Linked DNA regions of Tribolium castaneum. The main gene of each other region encodes a partner of the protein of the gene in region 6 in a complex. Links are inferred from orthologs where the notes say so. Each region holds a gene or a part of one and is shown on either strand. Other genes may lie near its edges. The genes, in order: l(2)37Cb; SmD2; Sf3b5; RNA-binding motif protein, X-linked 2; cysteine-rich PDZ-binding protein; Bx42; mdlc.

What was found.
Region 1: Bx42 (region 6) and l(2)37Cb share a complex: the UniProt entries of both Homo sapiens proteins name them as parts of the minor spliceosome. The link is inferred for Tribolium castaneum from reciprocal best matches to the Homo sapiens genes SNW1 and DHX16.
Region 2: Bx42 (region 6) and SmD2 share a complex: the UniProt entries of both Homo sapiens proteins name them as parts of the minor spliceosome. The link is inferred for Tribolium castaneum from reciprocal best matches to the Homo sapiens genes SNW1 and SNRPD2.
Region 3: Bx42 (region 6) and Sf3b5 share a complex: the UniProt entries of both Homo sapiens proteins name them as parts of the minor spliceosome. The link is inferred for Tribolium castaneum from reciprocal best matches to the Homo sapiens genes SNW1 and SF3B5.
Region 4: Bx42 (region 6) and RNA-binding motif protein, X-linked 2 share a complex: the UniProt entries of both Homo sapiens proteins name them as parts of the minor spliceosome. The link is inferred for Tribolium castaneum from reciprocal best matches to the Homo sapiens genes SNW1 and RBMX2.
Region 5: Bx42 (region 6) and cysteine-rich PDZ-binding protein share a complex: the UniProt entries of both Homo sapiens proteins name them as parts of the minor spliceosome. The link is inferred for Tribolium castaneum from reciprocal best matches to the Homo sapiens genes SNW1 and CRIPT.
Region 7: Bx42 (region 6) and mdlc share a complex: the UniProt entries of both Homo sapiens proteins name them as parts of the minor spliceosome. The link is inferred for Tribolium castaneum from reciprocal best matches to the Homo sapiens genes SNW1 and RNF113A.

Annotation. Positions count from the first base shown.
Region 1 is NC_087398.1:7,194,517-7,197,786, reverse strand, and holds the end of l(2)37Cb (pre-mRNA-splicing factor ATP-dependent RNA helicase DHX16), read right to left. Parts: intron 2,824-3,270; coding exon 1,443-2,823; intron 1,396-1,442; coding exon 1,177-1,395; intron 983-1,176; coding exon 799-982; intron 745-798; coding exon 520-744; 3' UTR 501-519; downstream 1-500. Other genes in the region: zinc finger protein OZF, read left to right, coding at 1-87. UniProt on the Homo sapiens protein: Required for pre-mRNA splicing as a component of the spliceosome. Contributes to pre-mRNA splicing after spliceosome formation and prior to the first transesterification reaction.
Region 2 is NC_087395.1:17,190,837-17,193,060, forward strand, and holds SmD2 (probable small nuclear ribonucleoprotein Sm D2), read right to left. Parts: upstream 982-2,224; 5' UTR 882-981; coding exon 525-881; 3' UTR 501-524; downstream 1-500. Other genes in the region: Vps51 (vacuolar protein sorting-associated protein 51 homolog), read left to right, coding at 1-90, 136-244; serine-rich adhesin for platelets, read right to left, coding at 1,742-1,837. UniProt on the Homo sapiens protein: Plays a role in pre-mRNA splicing as a core component of the spliceosomal U1, U2, U4 and U5 small nuclear ribonucleoproteins (snRNPs), the building blocks of the spliceosome.
Region 3 is NC_087396.1:17,670,081-17,672,196, reverse strand, and holds Sf3b5 (splicing factor 3B subunit 5), read right to left. Parts: upstream 972-2,116; 5' UTR 848-971; intron 794-847; 5' UTR 792-793; coding exon 534-791; 3' UTR 501-533; downstream 1-500. UniProt on the Homo sapiens protein: Component of the 17S U2 SnRNP complex of the spliceosome, a large ribonucleoprotein complex that removes introns from transcribed pre-mRNAs.
Region 4 is NC_087396.1:22,565,046-22,567,840, reverse strand, and holds RNA-binding motif protein, X-linked 2, read left to right. Parts: upstream 1-1,156; 5' UTR 1,157-1,295; coding exon 1,296-1,309; intron 1,310-1,358; coding exon 1,359-2,145; 3' UTR 2,146-2,149; downstream 2,150-2,795. Other genes in the region: TBC1 domain family member 31, read left to right, coding at 1-361, 409-1,031; mitochondrial tRNA-specific 2-thiouridylase 1, read right to left, coding at 2,150-2,743. UniProt on the Homo sapiens protein: Involved in pre-mRNA splicing as component of the activated spliceosome. As a component of the minor spliceosome, involved in the splicing of U12-type introns in pre-mRNAs.
Region 5 is NC_087394.1:8,405,448-8,408,049, reverse strand, and holds cysteine-rich PDZ-binding protein, read right to left. Parts: upstream 1,155-2,602; 5' UTR 1,038-1,154; coding exon 865-1,037; intron 807-864; coding exon 677-806; 3' UTR 501-676; downstream 1-500. Other genes in the region: Noc1 (CCAAT/enhancer-binding protein zeta), read right to left, coding at 1,260-1,627, 1,675-1,803. UniProt on the Homo sapiens protein: As a component of the minor spliceosome, involved in the splicing of U12-type introns in pre-mRNAs. Involved in the cytoskeletal anchoring of DLG4 in excitatory synapses.
Region 6 is NC_087397.1:9,848,808-9,852,825, forward strand, and holds Bx42 (puff-specific protein Bx42), read right to left. Parts: upstream 2,654-4,018; 5' UTR 2,346-2,653; coding exon 2,332-2,345; intron 2,280-2,331; coding exon 2,116-2,279; intron 1,973-2,115; coding exon 549-1,972; 3' UTR 501-548; downstream 1-500. Other genes in the region: ATP-binding cassette sub-family F member 1, read left to right, coding at 1-71, 340-490; qm (terpene synthase), read right to left, coding at 3,860-4,018. UniProt on the Homo sapiens protein: Involved in pre-mRNA splicing as component of the spliceosome. As a component of the minor spliceosome, involved in the splicing of U12-type introns in pre-mRNAs.
Region 7 is NC_087396.1:11,857,593-11,860,831, reverse strand, and holds mdlc (E3 ubiquitin-protein ligase RNF113A), read right to left. Parts: upstream 1,741-3,239; 5' UTR 1,719-1,740; coding exon 1,601-1,718; intron 1,509-1,600; coding exon 1,294-1,508; intron 1,239-1,293; coding exon 766-1,238; intron 723-765; coding exon 545-722; 3' UTR 501-544; downstream 1-500. Other genes in the region: probable chitinase 2, read right to left, coding at 148-226; vih (ubiquitin-conjugating enzyme E2 C), read left to right, coding at 2,049-2,152, 2,205-2,625; Syx16 (syntaxin-16), read right to left, coding at 2,815-3,239. UniProt on the Homo sapiens protein: Required for pre-mRNA splicing as component of the spliceosome. As a component of the minor spliceosome, involved in the splicing of U12-type introns in pre-mRNAs. E3 ubiquitin-protein ligase that catalyzes the transfer of ubiquitin onto target proteins.

The DNA.
Region 1 (3,270 bases), on a different chromosome or scaffold from region 6:
CAGCCGTACAAGTGCGAGCTCTGCGAAAAGGCCTATGTGCAGAGCAGCGCCCTGAGGACGCACATGAAAGGCCATGAAAAACAGTGAAGGTTTGGAGATTTTATAAATTTATTTATGAATAAATACTAGTCACAAGGGCTATATATTTTTATGCCCTTTTTTAATTGGTAAAACCAAAAAATAATTAGACGAGAAAAGCTATTTTATTATCGCCTTTCAGTATTTTCATCTCATTATGATTAGTTTATTATTTTCATTGTCTTTTTTTATAAAAACAAATTATTTCGATTTCGTAATTTTATTTACAAAAGTAAAGTATTTACACTTATATTTGTATATTGTATTATCACTAATACATTTTTATTTTTCTATAGTGTCTTTTGCATTTACAAGCAATTTATTTACTGTTCTATTGTTTGCATGAGAAGAAATAAGAATTTTTTCCAACAATACCAAACTGCTTTACTTCTTCAATTTTTTACATTATTATAATAAAAAGCTTTCGGTTCTAAAAAATCTTTATTCAGTTCTGGTGCTACGCCCGACAGTCTTTGGCATTTTTTTGTTGGTAGAATCCTCCAGTTCCTTCTGCTTGTAATAATGAGGTGCAACCTCCAAAAGCCACTTACTCTCGATTTCTATAACTTGTCTCATAAACTCTTTGGTGGTAAAAACCAGCTCGTGATAAAGAACCCATCTTGGCAAGTCCTCAAAAAGGGCACTATTGGGATGTATTGTGACACTCTGAAACAATTTCTCTCAGTACAAAGAAAACTATAATTTTTTTGGTGTTAAAACCTGATTATGTTTAACGGTTTTGTAAGTCCCTCCTTTGGATAACCGAGCAATGTGGTAGAAATAACCGGCGGTTATAGCCTTTTTAATGTCTGCAGCCTCGGTTATATTTGACACCATGTCGATTTCAACCCTTTGCATTAAACCGACCAACTGTTCCCTCACATCGCGAGCCCTTTTCATAGATCTACAACAAAATAAAGCACAATTATTTACGTATCTTCAACAACTAGATAACTTGAAATTTATATTTTTCTAATTTATATTTCTAATTTTTTTAAAGTACTGAAGATGAACCGGTTAGTTTGAAACATTTTCATTCTTTTTTCTTTATTTTATTTTTCTTTTATGGCAGATTTCAGAAAAAATAAGAGAAATCACCTGTATTGTATAAAATTCTCGTAGCACCATTGGGTGGAATAATCGGAATCCCTCCACTGGTTGTACACATTTAACAAGCTCAGATGGTCACCCCCTATGTGATTAAAATTTTTGCGTGCCGTGTCAGCATGAATAATTTTATCCTTGGGCCTGTAAAAAATCGCCCCATTGACCGAAAGCATGGCCGCAATAGTCACAATCTCCTCTGAACATTTGTATCTGCAAAAAGCAAACAGTAACAAACCCACACAAAAAGCCAAACTTACTTTTCCGAAGCTAACAACATTTTGGCCATCATCGGATCAACCGGAAACTCCGCCATCCTGCGCCCCAACTTCGTCAACTCCCCGTGATGGTTCAACGCCCCTAAAGCATACAACTGTTCCAGTGCCAGAACAAGTGTCTCATGTGGTGGCGGATCAAGAAAATCGAAATGCACCAAATCGTTAATCCCCAACGCTTTCAGCATCAGTACAGCGTTGCCTAAATTAATCCTTTGTATTTCCGGCACGGTATTGTCCTCCAGTTCATGCTTGTAGGACCAGGCGGTGTACAAACGAAAACACTTCCCGGCCGCCACTCTGCCAGCCCTCCCAGCCCTCTGATTAGCCGAGGCTTTCGAAATTGGCACCACAATCAGGCTCTCCATCCCAGTCCGCGAATTGAAGTGGTTTTGTTTGGCAAAACCGGGATCAATAACATAGATTATATTGTCTATCGTTAAAGAAGTCTCCGCTATATTTGTCGCAAGCACAACTTTCCGGGCCCCTGGAGGCGTCGGTTCAAAAATTTTCGCTTGCATGTCGCTTGGCAGGTTCGCATAAACGGGCAGAATAATCAGTTCCTTGACTTTGGAGCCCAACCGGCGAACCCGATCCTGCAACAACTCCTGACACGTCTCAATCTCATCCTGACCGGTCAAAAAAACAAGAATATCCCCTAACGGTTGAGTCGCGTGAATTTGTAGAACGGAAACAACGCACGCGTCCACATAATCGGCCTCTGGCGCCTTAGTGTAGTAAATATCCACCGGAAACCTCCGGCCTGGAATGCGGAAAATGGGCGCATCGTCGAAAAACTCGGAGAATTTTTGCGCGTCGAGCGTTGCGCTCGAAATCAGCAGTTTCAAGTCGGGGCGAAACCGGGCGATGTCTTTGACCAGACCGAACAAAATGTCCGTGTGTAGCGTCCGCTCGTGGGCCTCGTCGATGATCATGACGCTGTAGGACTGCAGGTCGGGCTCGGATAAAAATTCGCGGTGGAGCGTGCCGTCGGTCATGTATTTGATGATTGTACGTTCGGATGTGCAATCTTCGAATCTGATCGCATAACCGACTTCGTTGCCGAGTTTGACTTCCATTTCTTGGGCTACGCGGGCCGCTACCGACATGGCGGCGACACGGCGTGGCTGCGTACAGCCGATTTTTTTATTGTCGTTGGTGAAGCCGGCTTCGTGCAAGTACTGCGGGATTTGGGTTGTTTTTCCAGAGCCGGTTTCACCCTCGATTATTAGGACCTGGTGCTCGCGGACGGCCTGGATCAAGTCGTCGCGAAACGGGTAGACTGGGAGGTTTTTCTTCGTTTCTTGGATGTCGAGCTTCTTTTTTTCCTTTTCGGTTAGTTCGGGCTCTTTCTTCTCTCGTGTGCCTGTTTATTGATTATTTTGGTACAATTTTGCCAATTTAATACCTCACAGACTAGTTCTTATCTCATCGTTTTAAAATCCTAATACCCCTAAAAAATGTACCGGGTGCTCAAAAACCGGCGCACCAATTCAATGATGTGCGGTAGAGAAATGCTTAAATATAAAGGTAAAAATAGTAAAAAATTCTTTGTATTACAGTTATTGATAAATACCGAATTTTAAATAAATGATATGTGGCAACGTTGTCTAATAGTCGTGATCGCAATAGAATTTGTTCAACAATAAAAATTAATTATTTTTGAAACGGTTTCCTAGGAAATAATGCCCAATGTTGACACATCTACAAATTGTGATTTTTTGATTTATTTAATTTTTTTTAAATTCAGAAAACTGCTAAAGTCTGATAGTAAATTTAAAAATAATTAATCATTATTTTATTAAGAAACGAT
Region 2 (2,224 bases), on a different chromosome or scaffold from region 6:
GAAGACTTTTAGTAAATTTGGCCTCCAACAAATTCAAGTGGACACGCATTACTTGCAGTTGTATTTGTGGCGATTTGTTGCGGATGAAAAGTACGTCACGAATTTGAATTTAGTGAAATTAATTGAATTTTCCAGCTTGGTTCATTTCCTCCTGGATGAGATTTTGGGATCAGCAGTCCACAGGTGCCTGGAACCGATTTTAATGGAACCAAGCGTTGTGGACATCATATGTGAAAGGGGTTAGGTCATGCAGCTTGCATAAGTTACAAATATTTATTATTCTTTTGTATTATCTTGTTTAAATAAAAAGGAGAAATTTTATCACATTTTGTTGTATTATTTTTATAGATAAATGTTAAAAAACCGTTCAATCTTTCATTTGCAACGACATGAATGTGATATTTCCACAGTATCACGTTCGCGGTATCAATCAACCGCAGAACAGAAGGACCACACGAGTGAAGTGATAGGTAAGTGAATTTCCTCAATAAACACTAAACTGAAGATACAAATTTTATTCCTAATTAACCACTAGCCGTAGCTAGGGGGTTCCTTACAACTATAATAACCGCATCGCCTCGCAGAAACATTTTCGAAATGAACCGATCCTTATTTACCGGCTTGGCTTTCTTCTTCCCCTTTCCAGGCCGGGGCAGCTCTGTCCACATTTCCTTCACATTCTCCAACACTATGTTGCAGTGCCGATCGAACGCCTTCACCCGCCCCAGCAATTTCTTGTTGTTTCGGCAGTTTATCAGCACCTGAGTGTTGTTCTTCACCGACTGAGTGAGCACCGAAAGGGGGCCCGTGTTGAACTCTTCCTCCTCGCGAGCCTGAAGCTCCTCGGCCGTCATTTCAGACTTGGGTTTCGTTAAAGCCATTCTGACTCGGTTTTTGCACTTAAAACAACACTTTTTCCGGCACAAAAATAGTTAGGTTAGGAATTTGAGCGTTTTGGATGCGTTTGGGGAATTTTGCAATGCGCATGCGCAAACTGGGTTTAATACTATGGCGGCAGATTCAAACATTTAAAGTGAAGAAAACAAACTTCGAATTAAATCAACAATTATTCTTCTCACATTTAAAGTTACATTAAGATTACTCTTTTGAATAATTAATTAAGAGTTTTAACATACTCAAAAACCACGATCTAAAAACTAATTACAAAATCGAGCAAATAAACCAATTTATAATCCATTGAGATGAAGACGTTAAATATAAGAGCAACAAGCTATTAATGAATCAGATAGGGGAATGCACCGTTTATTATAATTTAACTAGAAAATGTAATAAATATTGCAAATACGAGTATTGCAGTGCATTTTTCCAACGAAGGGAGTTTAATTCCCAGCAATTTGTTAGCCCCAGAATCGAAAATTAAATAATTACGATAAACAATAATCACTCTTTATTTATAGTAAGTATAACAATAAGAGATAACCAGTGCAAGTAATTATTCCAGCAGCGTGTTTATTTAAGTATACAAGCAATGCCAACGCAAATAATAATAGAATAATCATTAAAATGCAGTGAGGAGCCGATAAACCACCCCGTCCCGCTATATAAATTAAATACTTGAAGAAACGCACCAGAAGAAAGCCTCTTGTCCACCCGGTATTAAGTAGTTGCGCCGAAGGTGATGTTTTTGAAATCTCCTCGGTCTGGCTGCTTTATACCGCATGGATGAAAATCACCAAAAAAAGTCTGTTTTCTTGTCACACGTTGTCAGATTTAATAATTCTTAATTCGACTTCCTCATTTGCGGCGTTTCCTGTCGCCGCCCGTCTAAGGTCCCGCATTTGAGGCTTCGTTTTTCATGAGTTCGGTCTTCGTGTGCCTACCTTAATTCAATTAATCAATTGACCAGATGAATGGAATAAAGTTCATATGTTTGACATCGACGATGAACATATTTAAATCTCGTTAGGGGCCACTTCGGACTAAATAGGATAATAGCCGATGCTTACGGCTGCTTGCTGAATGCCTCTTGTGTCGAGATACACGCGCTGTATTCAATGATATTGTTTGTGTTGGGCAATTTTCTATTTTTGACGCAAGTGTTTATAAGAGTGGACTTTTGCTCAGGTAATTTTTGGGGAAATGTAGAGTAGTTCTATGTAGAGGAGTTTGATTTGGAAATGATTTTCCGGGCGTTTATACGCGAAAATTTTCCAAGCACTTGCTATTAGTGTTAATTTTGTAATGTTTTAGAGAGTAAAGGGGT
Region 3 (2,116 bases), on a different chromosome or scaffold from region 6:
TATTGTCACTATAATTGGTAAATAAAAAATAAATATATTGAAAATCTGTTTTTTTTTTATAAAAATGCAGCGAACTAAAGCTAAGAATATTCTCTTAAAGTCATAAATTATTGTACTAGAAAAAATTATATTCCTAATAAGGGTAATAAATAAATACATTTTTAAATGCCCTTCCACTACCTTTAGAAATTTTCCTCCATGTTTTTATTAAAGAACTTGAAACACTATTTAATTTCCAAAACTTTTTATTCGATTAAGGAATACATATCTTCGGAATGATTTTAGTGATATCTTGCCTATGTAATACAGTAATACCTATTTAAATGTAAGTTAATTTTGCGGCGTGTGTGGAATACTCTATTAGTGCAATTAGTATTGACACAAATAAAGTAGGTATTCTATTCTAATAAAGGCGAAATGAAATACAAAGTAGACCTTTCGGCTACAATTATTTTAGTTATCGGAAGAATTCTAAAATGGTCTTTTAAAAAAAACAACGATTATATGAAAATTTTTATTGACTTTACTATAATCTAATCCTCGGGTTTATCTGGAGGTGGACCACACGGTTGAAGCATTTTCTCCATTAGATTAAACCTAACTCGGGCTTTTGCCTCGTTCTCACAAATCGCAAAATAATTTAACAAATCGTGGTGCCCCAAATAACTGGCGTAACTGTCTCTATGCTGGTTCAGCAGCCATTCGTATTTCGTTATTTCAGAGTGGCCTGTTCCGATATATTTCGATTGGAGATGCTCCAACTGGCTGTGGATGTTGTAGCGGTCGCCCATTACTTTTACAAATTGCAGTAAATTACGAAATAGAGACACACAAAGAAGAAACACACTTTTGTTTTGATGCTCCTAAGTTCACCTAACCTCGAACTCAACTCACTACTCATTAGTGTTAAATGTTAGGGTTGCCACTGTTGTTCGGCAGCAAAAAAGTCCCTAGGTTTTTATTCCTCTCGCTAACATTTATTATACAGGGTGTGTTGTATTTCTGAAATTTTCTTTAGGTGCCACCAAAAATGCTATACTATTTTCACTTGAATAACGCGCAATTGTAAATATGAGCCTTAAAAATCCTTCGTTTTGTAGTGTAACAGGATAGTGGTCAGTCTCTCTATTATTATATTATATTTTTCGTTTATAATACACGTGTATTAACATATATCAGTAGGAGTCGTTTATGGCTATTAAAGTACAGTGTACTTTAATGAATTTAGGGATATTTAGTTTTCAAGAGTTTCATCGATAATGCGTGGAATACACGTACGATCGATTTAATCATCATTTCTTCTTTATTTATTATTTATTACCGTCACCAACTGACACGAAATTCCCTAGACGACAAAAAAATTTAATTAAAATAAGAAAAAATCATAAAAACATTCTCGTTTTATAAGGGTTTTGGCGCACTCATCCCATAGAAAACTTGTTTTTAAATATACTATTATTTATTATTATATTATGTTATGCTAGTTTTTATACTTAGTAATTTTTTACGTATATAGACATTATGTGTTTATTTGGTCAGTTTTTAACTGTTTTGAGAAAAAAGGAGACGAACTGAAAAAATGGGGAAAAATACGTATATTATTAGCTGTCTCAAAACTATAAAAACGCTAACGTCGCATTTTCTCTCAAAATTAGCTATTATAAATTATTCATGCACTTCAAAAAAATAATAACTAATGTAATTTATAGTTTCAATAAGAGATTTAATCAATAATAACTATTTCATATTTTTATCAATCTTATTTAAAAATAAAATCGGTAAAATGCAACGTTGGCGTTTTTATAAATTTGAAACAGCTAACAGACATTTTTTTGTGGAAAAAAATTCTTGAGGCCATATTTCAGCCGCTCACGCTAAATTTGTTTAAACCTAATAAATGGTTAATGATAGAAATATGATATGGCAGACTTTCTCGGAAAAAAGCATTCTATACACTTTTTTCAACCATATTTGCAGCGTTTTAAAAAATATGGTGAAAGTTTGCTTTTTTTAATATTGTTTATGATAATTTTTGTGCTTTTATTTCTTGCCATCGAAAATGTAGGCCCACTTTCATAATCGAATTTAACGGAGCATTAAATTAAATGTTTTTTGG
Region 4 (2,795 bases), on a different chromosome or scaffold from region 6:
CAACGAACCTCCATTTTGAGTCTTAAAGACGATAAACAATTTCGGTGTTTTTACAAAACGCATCATCCCATAGATGTTAAAAAATTGCTAACGAAAAGTTACCACATTTTGGCCAAGACGGGCGAGGCCGTGCACCCACGGCAATATTTGAACATGTTCAAGAAAATTAATTTGGGGGAATACCCCAATTTTTGTGATTACCCCAAAACCATGATCGAGATGTCGGATAAAGAGGCCGAGATGAAGAGAGAGATGGCGGGGTTGAAAACAGACGAGGTTGATTTGTTCAGACGCCGATTGATTAGTTTGGAGCGGTTGCAAAATTTCGAAGTGGAGGAAGAAGAGAATAAGCGAATTTTGGGTAAGTTTTTGTACATTTTTTGGGGTTTTAATTAAATAAATTGTCAGAAATGGAACGCGCGATTCGTAATCAATTGTTGGAGGAGCAAACCCGTGTCCAGGAGTACTACGAAAGGGTGGCCAACCTGCGCGAAAAATTCCACCAAGAAGACAAAATTTTGGCCTCCTTAAGACACCAAATAGCGAAGGAACAGCAATTGAAAAGCCGCCGAAAATACCTATCGTCGATTATGGACGATGTCAGGTTCCGAAAAGGCGAGAAAGGTTACGCCTTGACCAAGACCGAGGACGAACTCCTCTTCCACTATGCCGAACTTTTGAAAAACAAGTACAAAATCGAAAAGTTACTAAACACTGATGAAGTTGTCACAAGTACAAAACTATCAGTTGATCAACAACAGGAACAATTATCGAACGAAATCAATTTTGTGCGGAGTAGTGAAGAGCCCCGCAAACATTTGAAGATGTTAAATCTGACAACGGGGCTTGAAGCCATGGATGCTCTAATCGAAAAAGTCGAAAGTGAGCTGGAAAAACAAAAGAGCGGGAGTGACAGTGATGCCGATCGACGCGTTGTCGCCCTGCAAGCGGAAAGCAAAGAGTTGGCGTTGAAAATTGCCAATTTAATCGAGCTACTTGCCAATTTAAGGAGTGAGGAAGTGGGCGGATAGCACAATCAATTTTATTATAAGTTGTATCGTTTCTATTTATACGTTTTATGATCTCATATGCACCTGTGATATGTTTTTAAACGGCAATAAATTTACAAACCGATGTGAAGTCGCCTTAATAGTTCCAGCCGCGGTGTGAATGCACCTTAACGCAATTAACACAAACGTCAAACGTACGTCAAATACCTAACCTATTTTTTGAACATTTGTTTTATTTGTATTTGTTCATGTTTTTCGGGGTCAGAGGCCCCACAATCACGCACCATGAATCCGTTAACGTAAGTATTGTCGATTTTTTGCCCCAATTTTGCGAAGTTGTCTTTCCAGGAACATGAAAAATGTGAAGAAACTGAGCGAACAGGAGCTCTACACCGGTAATAAAACCTCCTGGCATGACCAATACAGGGACAGTGCGTGGGTTTTCATCGGCGGTTTGCCCTTCGACCTGACCGAGGGCGACATAATTTGCATTTTCTCGCAGTATGGCGAAGTGGTGAACATAAACCTGATCAGGGATAAGGACTCGGGCAAGTCAAAGGGCTTCTGTTTCCTGTGCTACGAGGACCAAAGATCGACCGACTTGGCCGTTGATAATTTCAACGGAATCAAAATCTTGAACAGGACGATACGAGTCGACCACGTCAGTAACTACAAGGTGCCCAAACAGGGCAAGAAAACGGACGCTGAGACGAAGAAACTGTACGATGAGGGCTGTGCCCCCAAGGCCGTCCCTGTGCAAGTTCCTGTCAAAGCGCCAGTGAAGATTAAAACAGACCCTGACGATTTTCGCGAAACACTGGCCGACCAGATTAATTCTGAGATCAAGTTGCCTGAGCGCTTGCCCATTTACACGATAAAAAAGGAGAAAGTGGACGAGGAGGCGCCGCCGGAGCCTGTTGTCACGAAAGAGAAGAAGGAAAAGAAACACAAGAAGGAGAAAAAGAAGAAGAAGAAAAAGAAGTCGGACGAAAACAGCAGCGAATCCGATTCAGATAGGAAGAAGAAAAAGAAGAAGAAGGGCGAGTCAGGGTCGGATTACTCCGCTGAAGACAGCGTGTCAGAGGACGAGGATAGGAGGAAGCGGTCGCGGAGTCCGAATAAGAAAAAGCGCTGATTTACTAACATCTATTTACAGCTCTGTGCTTCATATCTTCATTATCAGTAAGCTCGTCTTCACCTTGCGTCACATTGACATATTTTTTCAAAATGTGGGAGACACTCCCTAGACCATTATTCTCCAAATAATATAGCGAGAAGTGTGAAACTCCCGTGTTAATTATTCGAGCCCCTCCGAGACACTCGCCATCTTTCGACAAGACAGCGAACTGTCCCGGAGTGATGGCCCTCTTGTACCTATTCACTTTAATAATCAGTCCTTTACTTGTTTGGCACACCTGGCATTTGACCCAATATTTGGTGTGTTGGAACTTGAAATCGCACTCCAAAACCCCGTTTTGTAAATCAGGGGGCTGTGAGTGGATCCAGTGGGGCTCACTGGTCAAAATTATGTTCGTGTAAAGTAACGGGTGTTTTGTCCCTTTGACTACGTAAATTATGTTCTTGTCTACGTCTTTCCGGGCCACGAAATAAGGGCTTTCGTAGCTGTGGAGGCGCGCCCTTTGCCCCAAAGTCCACTGGTGCACCCCATTGTGTTGACCCACGACTTTCGCAGTGTCAACGTCCACGAAATCGCCCGGTTTATCATCAATATACTGAAAAAAATGTTTAGTCAAGTGACCAGTGCAAAGCTTCTTTGACCAATGA
Region 5 (2,602 bases), on a different chromosome or scaffold from region 6:
AAACTGAATAAAATTAAACGGCAGTATTGTGTAAGTGTATGGATAAAACGTCACCAACAAAAAATATAATCACTGAGATAAGTAATTACTGCAAGGTGGAAAACAAAGAGGTTTGTCTGATTCATTGAATTTTGTTACGACTTCGTCACGTTTTTTTTATATACAGGGAAGTGAATTTTTAAAATCCAATCGCTGAAATTCATTTCTAAAAGGTTATATACAGTGTAGCCACTTTTAGAAGTATTTAATAATACGACAGACATCAATTTTTTCAATTATTTTTTTAGTGCAATAAGACAAAATCGTATTTTAACTTTGTGGAAATAATATTACAGGTACAGTTTTTTAGTTTATAAAAAAGTCCAAATAATAATTCTAGAATATTTGATAGTTGCGTTTTAATAATGTATAGTCAACCTTAATAACAAAAAAGAAATAGGGATAGAATAGGTAGAAATGAATTAATAAGTTAAAAATGTTATCATAAAAATGAAATAAAAAACTTTTGTCATAAGTTATTAAATATAATTACACACCTTATCATTCAAGATAATTAAATTGTCGTACACTCACTGTATACAGACAGAAAACCTAACAGTACCTACAAAACAATGCAAATTGCTCTAAAACTTAGAATAGGCTTAATTTTGTTTAAAAGTAACACACAAAATGTAGTTCAAGTTGACGATTGTTTGTAATTCTTCGTACTCAACAATTTCTTACCACACATCGCACAAATTCCTTTTTTATAAGCACAGGACTGGCAATAATGTGACCCAACCTGGTGCACCTTTTGCCTACATATTCTACAATAAAAACATGAGAAGAGTAAATCAATTTTAAGGATTACTTGCATTAACAAACCTGCAAGTCTCAAAACTGGACGTGTATGGATTAAATCTGTTTTTGCTAGCTGTTAAAGCCTTGTTTTCGTTAACTTTCCTACCCCCTGACTCAGTTGTATTTCTAGCCCCACTTTTCCAAGGATCTGGTGTTATCACTTTGCCCAACTTCTTTTGGCATTTTTCGCACACCATTTTCACAAAACACGATAATTATTGTGAATTTGGTACGAAATTGTAAACACGAAGATAATAAACAGAACGTACTGTTAAACGTCACGAAAAGTTAGGTTATGGGTTATGTGTAGTTGTATATTCGCGAAATACAACCAACACGAATTAAATAAAACACAAAACTGGTGGATTCGTAAAGAATTATATTAATTAAAATGCAATCGACTGCTTCCTTGTCGATTATTAATTCTTCCTCTTCTTTGCCTTATTATTAAATTTATTTGGACCTTTCCTTTTCTTGCCAAAATTGCTACCTTTACTATTTTTCTTTTTGCCAACTACTTCATCAAATCCCTTCAACCACCTATTTCTACTCTGTTCCCAGGCAAGTTGTTTAGTGCTCGCATTATCCTTATTTGATAACGCATTTGAACTTCCTGGGGCTATTTTCGAACTACCTTCATCGTCAAGCAATGAGGCAAATTCTTCAGCTGATGCAAATATTGAGTTTGTGTCTTTGGATTTTTTCTTCTTTGATTTTGCTGACTTCGGTTCTTCATCGTCAAAAACAACTTCCTCGTCTTCATCGTCGTCTAAGTCACCCAGAAGCACTGCAAGCAAAGGATAATTTTGTGTTTTATTATTACAAAAAATATACTTTTGTCATCATCGTTCATTTCAAGGTCATCTTCATCGAAATCTTCATCTTCGTCCATTGACAATTCTTCGTCAGAAGCATCCTCCATCTCGCTATCATCGTCATCACTATCATCATCATCTGTCCGTTCTGGAAAACAGAGCAAAATACATTTTGAAATTAAGTTGGCAACACTTATTTTTATTATTGGTACTATAAATTGTAGGTGAAATTTAAAAATCGAGTACAAAAATTAACGTTTAGATTTGATAGTTATTGTGGCCAACTTAGATTTAAAATCATTGATCACTCAGATTATTATTATTTTTGTAAACTTAATCTACAACAAACTTAGGCATTTCTGTCTGGTTTCCAGCGTTTGCTAATAAATATTTAATTTTTTTTATCTATGTAATTCTTTTCAAAATTTTTCTACAATTCTTTTCTACAAATTAGCAGTTGTCAGCAAAATATACTTTTTTATATTAATTATGAATCTTAATCTGTTCTATAATTATTCTTTCCAATAAATACGTGTACTCAAGCTTCTGAGGTAGAAAAAGAATTCATTAAAATTAACAAAGTAATTAATATAGAAAAAAAGATTTTTGTTATTAATAATGTTGTTCCGGTCATTAAATTAAATTAAATATTTAGACTTCCTCAACCTACTTGATATAACATACACAATAATTTGAAAAAGTATATTTTGAGTTACCGAACATTCGTGTTTTCAAAAAAAAAAACTAAAAAAAAATTTAAAATTAAAATTTAAAGGTAAGTTCAGAAAATATGTTTTAATATATTTTGTGCGGTGCAAACATTTTTTTTTATTACTTCTTATAACATTCTAAGACAACAAATGCTTAAAAGTTGATTTGTGCAAAAGATACATAAAAAATTGTTGCTAACTCAAAGTGTGAATGGTGTGGAAAAAAATTCAACGTAA
Region 6 (4,018 bases):
GCACTAGCTGAGGCCATTAACGACTTCAGTGGAGGGGTTATTATAGTGAGCCACGACGAACGACTTATACGGTAAGAGCAAATAAATGTACTCTTTCTTTTCTTTTTTCGCCTCCCTTTATAGAAATTTTATATTTTTCGTCCTAATTTCAGGCTGCGAAGTATGCGTTTACCAGCACTATTAGAAGTGAATTTAATTTTTAATTTGCATTAGCTACTTAATTTGTTCGTTAATTTAAATTAAGATGAAATTCCATCGAGTTTTTGTAACAATTTCGGCTCGACCATAAAACTCAATTTTATTGTTTTGTGTAAAAAAAAATTACTAATTTTGTTACAGTGAAACTGATTGCGCCTTGTACGTAATAGAAGACCAGACCATAAACGAATTAGACGGCGACTTCGACGACTACCGCAAAGAGCTCTTGGAGAGTCTGGGTGAAGTCATCAACAGCCCAAGTATTGCAGCAAACGCTGCCATTGCTCAATAATACAACAAAAAATTTCTACAATTGTATTTATTTAAAAAACCCAAATACAATCAATATTTTAATCTCTTCTCTTTCGCTTATCCCTCTCATCCCTCCTCTCCGGTTCCTTGCGTTTGCTCGCCCGTTTAGCCTGACTCAAGAACTGATCTAACCCGAACGGATCTTCCTCTTTCTCAAATTGTACAGGTCCAGACCTTGGCGCATTCCGATCAGTTCCACTAAACTCCTTATCCGGAACAAATCGGTTCGTTTTGACGATTTTCTCCAAATCTTCACCGTATACCTCCTTATCCACATTCCTACTAGGTCTGTACAAGTGATTGGCCATTGAGCCCCCCTCCCTCCACGGCTTATCATAAACATTATACGCGTCATCGTCCCCATATCCATGCCCCAAACCTTGAGCCTGTCCGAATAATCTCTGATCAAACTGCACCTCGTTTGAGGAGACTCCTCTGGCAGGCATCCCCAAAGCAATCTGCTCGGAAATATCTCGCTCTCGCTCCCTCTTCAACTTTGAACGCTTATCGGGAGCAGCCCTTGCCAAGTTTCTCTCTCTTGCTCGCTCCTTATGCCGGTCCTGTCTCAGCATTTCTCTCTCACGTTCCTCCTCATCTGTGATTTTAGCATCAGCGACTTTGATCCCAGCACGTTCATCTCGAGCTTTTTGAGCCAACTGTCTCAAATGCTCCTCCTTTTGTTCCTTTTCCTTCTGAGCTAGTTTTTTCTCGAGTTGGGCGCGTGTTTCCACAGCCTCTCGTGCTTTTCTATCGGCAATATATAGAGCCTCAGCCAACTTTGCGAAATTCTCGTTGATGTGCAACTGTTGCAACCCCCGACCATCTGCAGCTAAACGCTTATCTAACGGAACTGTGTAACCCTTTGCATTTTTCCAATTTGAAATACAGGGCGGGATTTTCCACTCCTTTTGCTCCTTAACAGTGACACGACGTGTGGGGCTGTGCAAAACGGGCGCTGGGGGCGAAGGGGGCCCCCTTGGGATCTTCTTATTGATCTTGAAACGTGGGGGCTCCATTGGATCAACTTGTGCTTCGACCAAACGAATGACGCGCTGTTTGGCACCCGAGTTGAAGGCGGCCCCTTGTTGTGAAGGGGTGTAACGAATAAATTCAGCGGGGCCTTGTTTTTCGGCACATCTGACTGGCATTGCAGCTGCGATTTTTGAATTTGTTAGGCGTTGTAATGCTTGACGGGTTTTTTCTGTGATATCTTCGATTTCCTCCTGAGATGGTTTAGCAAGACTTGGGTCATTTTCTGTGGTTACTTCAACTGGTAACAAATCGGAGAGTTTTGAATAGACGATTTTGTCTTTGCCGTGGCCTTGACGTGCGATTACGTCGTATTTGACTTTGCCTTCTGCGTCCAATTGGACGGCCAAGGCGTTTGAAGTTGATTCTTTGCCCTTTCGCCCCATGTCAAGAGGGTACTGGGCCACGTGGATTTCGGGAAATGCGCCTCCATCTATAAATTGCAATAAAATCAGTGATAGTGAAAACTTTTCGACGTCCTTGACTGATTATTTGTAATAAAATTTAATAGGACCAATCAAAAAAGTTGGTCCCATCGTAGTTAAATTTAATTACAAAAAATCGGTGGCTAATTACCTCCATAGTCGGTGTGGACTCGTGGGACCCAACCCCTTCTTTGTCCATACGGTGGGGCAATGCTTTGGGCTGTTACAACAGATGTGGAACGTTGAGTTGTGGCATTCTGTTGCCGTCTCTCGTCGTCCCGATCCCATACGGGTTGTATGGGGGCGGGCAATAAACTACAAAATAAATGCGTCTTACTCTACAAGCCCAAAAGTGAGGTTAGGTTACCTGGATAATTCCATTTCTTTTCCTAAATCAGCAAAAACTTGACAATAGCGTAAAATATTCACACTGCACTCATTAATGTAAGTTTTTATTGTTTTACTTCACTAGTAAATCGGAAAATATGTAAAAATCGATTGCACAACAGTGGCTTTCGGGAAAACAATTTCCGCAAAATCTTGATATTATATTATCGCTGTGCGATATTCAAAGCAATTTGTACTTAAAAAACGCAACTAAGTAATGGATTATTGTGTGTAATTCTGTTTTATAAATACACCCAAATTAACGCCACTACTAAAACGTCAAATAGACGGAATGATTTGTAGAGGGCGCGGTTGAGCATAGATTGTTTGTTCCGAAGTTCTATAAGTTCGAAAATACAGACTGATCCAGAAATACTGAGTCTGTTGGCAACACATTTGAAAGTGTTTGTGCTTGTAATTTGTAACATTGCAACCGAATTCGATTTTTCTTGACAACTATTTGACGTACAACCCCACAAGAATGTTAAATTGTTGTTAACTGGAAGCGTATTCCATTAGTATCCTTAAAAATTTAAGTCCAGTGTCGCCAACAGACTCAGTATTTCTGGATCAGTCTGTATTTTTAACGTGAGGGTATCCCCAAAAAAAAAGATGCACAACCACTCACAGACTTTTAGCTACTAGTTACTTCAACAAGCAGACCCTTTACTTACGTAGAATAAACAAAAAACAATAAATTTTTTAATATTTTTCCAAAAATTTAGAAAAACATTCATGTATCGTGCGGTTGCCATTGATAATTGGCAATAATTGGTGGTGTTTGTGAACTTCTAATTTTGAAAATGTACTTCTCCAACATATAAATAAGTGCCTTAGAGCACTAAAGTGAAATTTGAATTTTGGAACTAACACCATAACACACTGTAATTTTTAACCGCTGTAGAACTGTGTCTAGCACTAAATTGAACTAAAAACACTAAAACATATTCAACCGAAGGCTGTTTACTATTGAAATTCGCGCTTTTTTGGTGTTGGTACTTCTGTTACACTGTTACGTTGGTAGTGCTGCAATATCGGCGCGCCTTTTAGCACCTGTCATGTTTTGTAGTTTAGCATTATTTTTGTTTAACGCTGTTTTAGTGTTTAGTTTGTGTATTAGTAAGGATTTATGGTGTTAGTGGGTTTGTTTCTCGTTATTTAAAGACAATCTTATTCAGAGGAGGAACATTTGCAGGAATATTTCCACCCTTCTTTGGTAAGTGCACATTTTAGTTGAGTATTAATTATAGCTTTAATTTAAACATTTTGACGCTTCAAAAGGTGAAATAAAGCATTCTTATGCAGAAATTGTAAGGTGCGGTACTAATTTTAGTAACGTTTTTTGACTAACTATTCAGTACTCAGAGAAAGAAAATTAGTCTTAGCACAGACAGTACACGGTGTCTGTTTGCTCCATAATAACAAAAAAAAGGAACAATCGATGAAATAGTGTTTATTGTAGCAACTTAATATAGATATCACAATAATTTAATTTGATCATGAAAAAATTATTCCAACTTAAAAATATACTCCATTACTTCGGCCATGTACGGGTTTTCCCCCAACTTATCAACTTCATCTTGGGCCTCTTGCTTCAGTTCTGCCAACACTTTCTTCGTGTAATCAAAACTTCCGTATTTCTCAAGCAACGAAACGCAGTATTTCTT
Region 7 (3,239 bases), on a different chromosome or scaffold from region 6:
AATATCATCGTTTCACCGTACGGTTTTTATTTAACTGTTGTGTCACATAAAAATCTTATTAACATAATGCATTACCACACAATACTGTGATAACTCGGTGATTAGAAAAACAATTAACGGTGATTAGGAACCAATTGGATTCCTTACCAGTAAGGGCCTTAACTTCATCCATGAAAGTCACTACGAAAATCACAAAAACAGCACAAACATTTTTTAGTGATACCATCTTGGTATTCTCGCAACTTTTGCACAAATGAGAGATGAACTTTATATTTCTTGTACAATATATATTACAGTTATAATGGCAAGGTAGCAGCTTTCTCTTTCGCGCGCGCGTTTTTGGTACTTTTGAGACAGAGAAAGATACAATGAATGTGTCCAGTTGGGGGTTACCCGCTTGACTGTTACTATACCTTTCACTCAGAAGCCGCACCTCACTAAGAAGTAGCGTCTTCTCTGTCTCACTCGCCTCTTCACGTGTGGGATTGGAATAAAACCAGTTCAATTTTTTATTTGTTTATTTATTACACAATTTACAAAAACATTAATCGGAATCCGAATCTGAGTCATTCTTTTTCTTAGGATTATCCTCTCGATTCAGCCGCGCTATGAGTTTCCGCGCGGGGTTGAAAACGCCACTCGTTTGCGTGTTGCAGACGAAGCACCTCGTCGTCTTCTTGTACCTCTCGAGGGCGCACTTCTCGCAAAAGTAGTGTTTGCACCTAAAATTAACTGTAATAAAGACTCGTAAAAGGTGCCTCCTACTTTGTGACAATCGGGTCCACGAAGCTGTCCCTGCAAACGACGCATTTGAACGGCAAATCCTCTTCGTCCGAGTCAATCTCGTATTGTTTATCCTCGTCGCTTTCTTGCCCATATTTGCCTTCCGCCCATTCCCGCTCAAGCTGCCAGCCGTGTTTGTAGTCACTCCTGTCGTGCAAAAATTTACAACTGTCCCCGAAACCGCAAAAGCCTGTTTCTTTGTAGTCCTTGCAAATGTCGGGTTGGTAGTCCCACCGGACGGTGGCACGCAGGTTTGCGGGGGCTCTGATGGGGCCCTTCCTGACCATTCCCGAACTGGCGTTGCCCGCAGCCGTGTCTTTGGGCTTGTAGTACTGTGCGTAGTTGTTGATGCCTCTGTAGACTTTATCGTCTTCCTTGCCCTCAAGATTTTTATTAATTTCTAGCCGCTTCTCGAAAATGGCTTGGGCGTCACGATCGCGCTCAGTTTCAAACTCCTTTAATTAAATAATTATTGATTGGATAATACTAGTGAGTGGTTAAGTGGCTTACAAGAGTCGCCGTCGCTCCCTGATCTTGAGGTCCCTCAGGCATAGCGGACCGTTTGGACTTGTAACTAACCATAATTTCCTCCTCACTGCTTGAGTAGTTCTGCTGCTCATGTTCTTTTTGTTTGGCTTTGCTTGTGGTTTGGAAGTTGGGGTTTGCTTTTCCCCGACGCCGGTTCGCCCGCTTCACCGCAGATTCGTCCTCACTGTTGGACTTTTCTGAAGAAATCGCAAACAAACATAACCTTTAAAACACGAAAACTAAGTCTACAACAACAGTGAAGGTTAATTCACGGATTTGGGGTACCCACCTCCTTCCGAACTGGATTTCTGGCGCTTCCGCGCCCCTTTATTTTTTATATTCCGTTTTTTAAATATAAAAGTGCAACTTTCATCAAGTCCTGTTTTAACGTCACGCGGATCATCCATCTTTGACAAGTGTCAAGTGTCAGTGCTGACGCCAAACAAAATATCAAAAATTTCAAAACTCAATAACGCCTTTGTGGTGTTAGACTTGAGCCAAAGCAATTTAATCTAATTTGAATTTGTAATTACACGTTTTCCTAGTGCGTCATAATGGTAATAGCAAGTGCTTGAATGTTAATTGCTTTCGCGGTTCTGTTGGTAGTTATGGGTGACGGTTCCTGATTGGCTAAATTTGAAAGTGCGTTGACGTTTGGCATCCATCTGCATCGTAACGAATTTTCTACAAATCAATTAAAGTAGAATTAGGATAATTTATTAGTGAACGTGGTAAAAATGGCCCAAAATTTCAATCCGTTCGTGGAGCAAGTGCCCGAGAACGTAAAGCAGGCCGAAAGTTCCAAGAAGGTATCGAACGATAATCACGCAGTGACAAAAAGGTGGGCAAAAAGTGAGTCTAAATTGGGGTGCTAATCTTTGTTCGATTTGCAGATTGCACAAAGAGCTTATGACTTTGATGATGTCCGAAGACAAGAGCATCTCGGCGTTTCCCGAGGGCGACAACCTGTTCAAGTGGGTAGGTACCATAATGGGGCCCAAAGACACGGTTTATGAGAGTTTAAAATATAAACTAAGTTTACAATTCCCGAACTCGTACCCCTACGCGGCCCCCGTAGTAAAATTCATCACGCCTTGCTTTCACCCCAACGTCGACACCAGTGGGAACATCTGCTTAGATATTTTAAAAGAGAAGTGGTCGGCGCTTTATGACGTTAGAACAATTTTGTTATCAATTCAGGCCTTGTTAGGGGAACCAAACACGAGGAGTCCGCTGAACACGACGGCCGCCGACAAGTGGAAGAAAAAAGAAGAGTACAAAAAGCTGGTGTTAGAGTCGTACAAGGAAGTCTAAATTTGATCTCGCATTAGAAAAATTTCAGTTATTTAAGATGTCATTGTGTAATAATAGACTGCGTACATATTTGTGTTATATAATTTTTACTATTTCTCGTGTGTTATGATTGAATAAAACGATCAAGTTTCAATAATTTATTTACATAAATAAATATTTGGCTTAGCGAATAAAAATACGTTATCACGACTAGGATTTCACGATAATCAAGGTAAAAAATAAAATAATTGTGGTTACAGCCAATACAAGGATCGCGCACATCTTGCGGTTTTTCCGCTGATAAGCGTCTGCCTTTTGCAGCTGTTTGAAGCCTTCGTAGACCTGGATCTGCGTCTGTTCCACGTTGTAGTCAATTCTGTCCAGAACTGTCCCCTGGTCGGCGACCATCTGACTGAGATCTTTGAAAATTTCGTTCAAGTCAACAATGGACTTAACAATTGCGTTCACTTCTTGCTCCCGCTCTTGCGCGAACCGCGTGTTTTCCTCCTCCAGCAACAGCAGTTGTTGCTGGCTCATCTGCTTGGAATTAACGAAGTAGGTATCAATGTCATCCGCCTCCCTGTTGTACAAATCCTCGTCTTCGAGTTGGTTATCAAAGTAGATTTTTGCGCGGT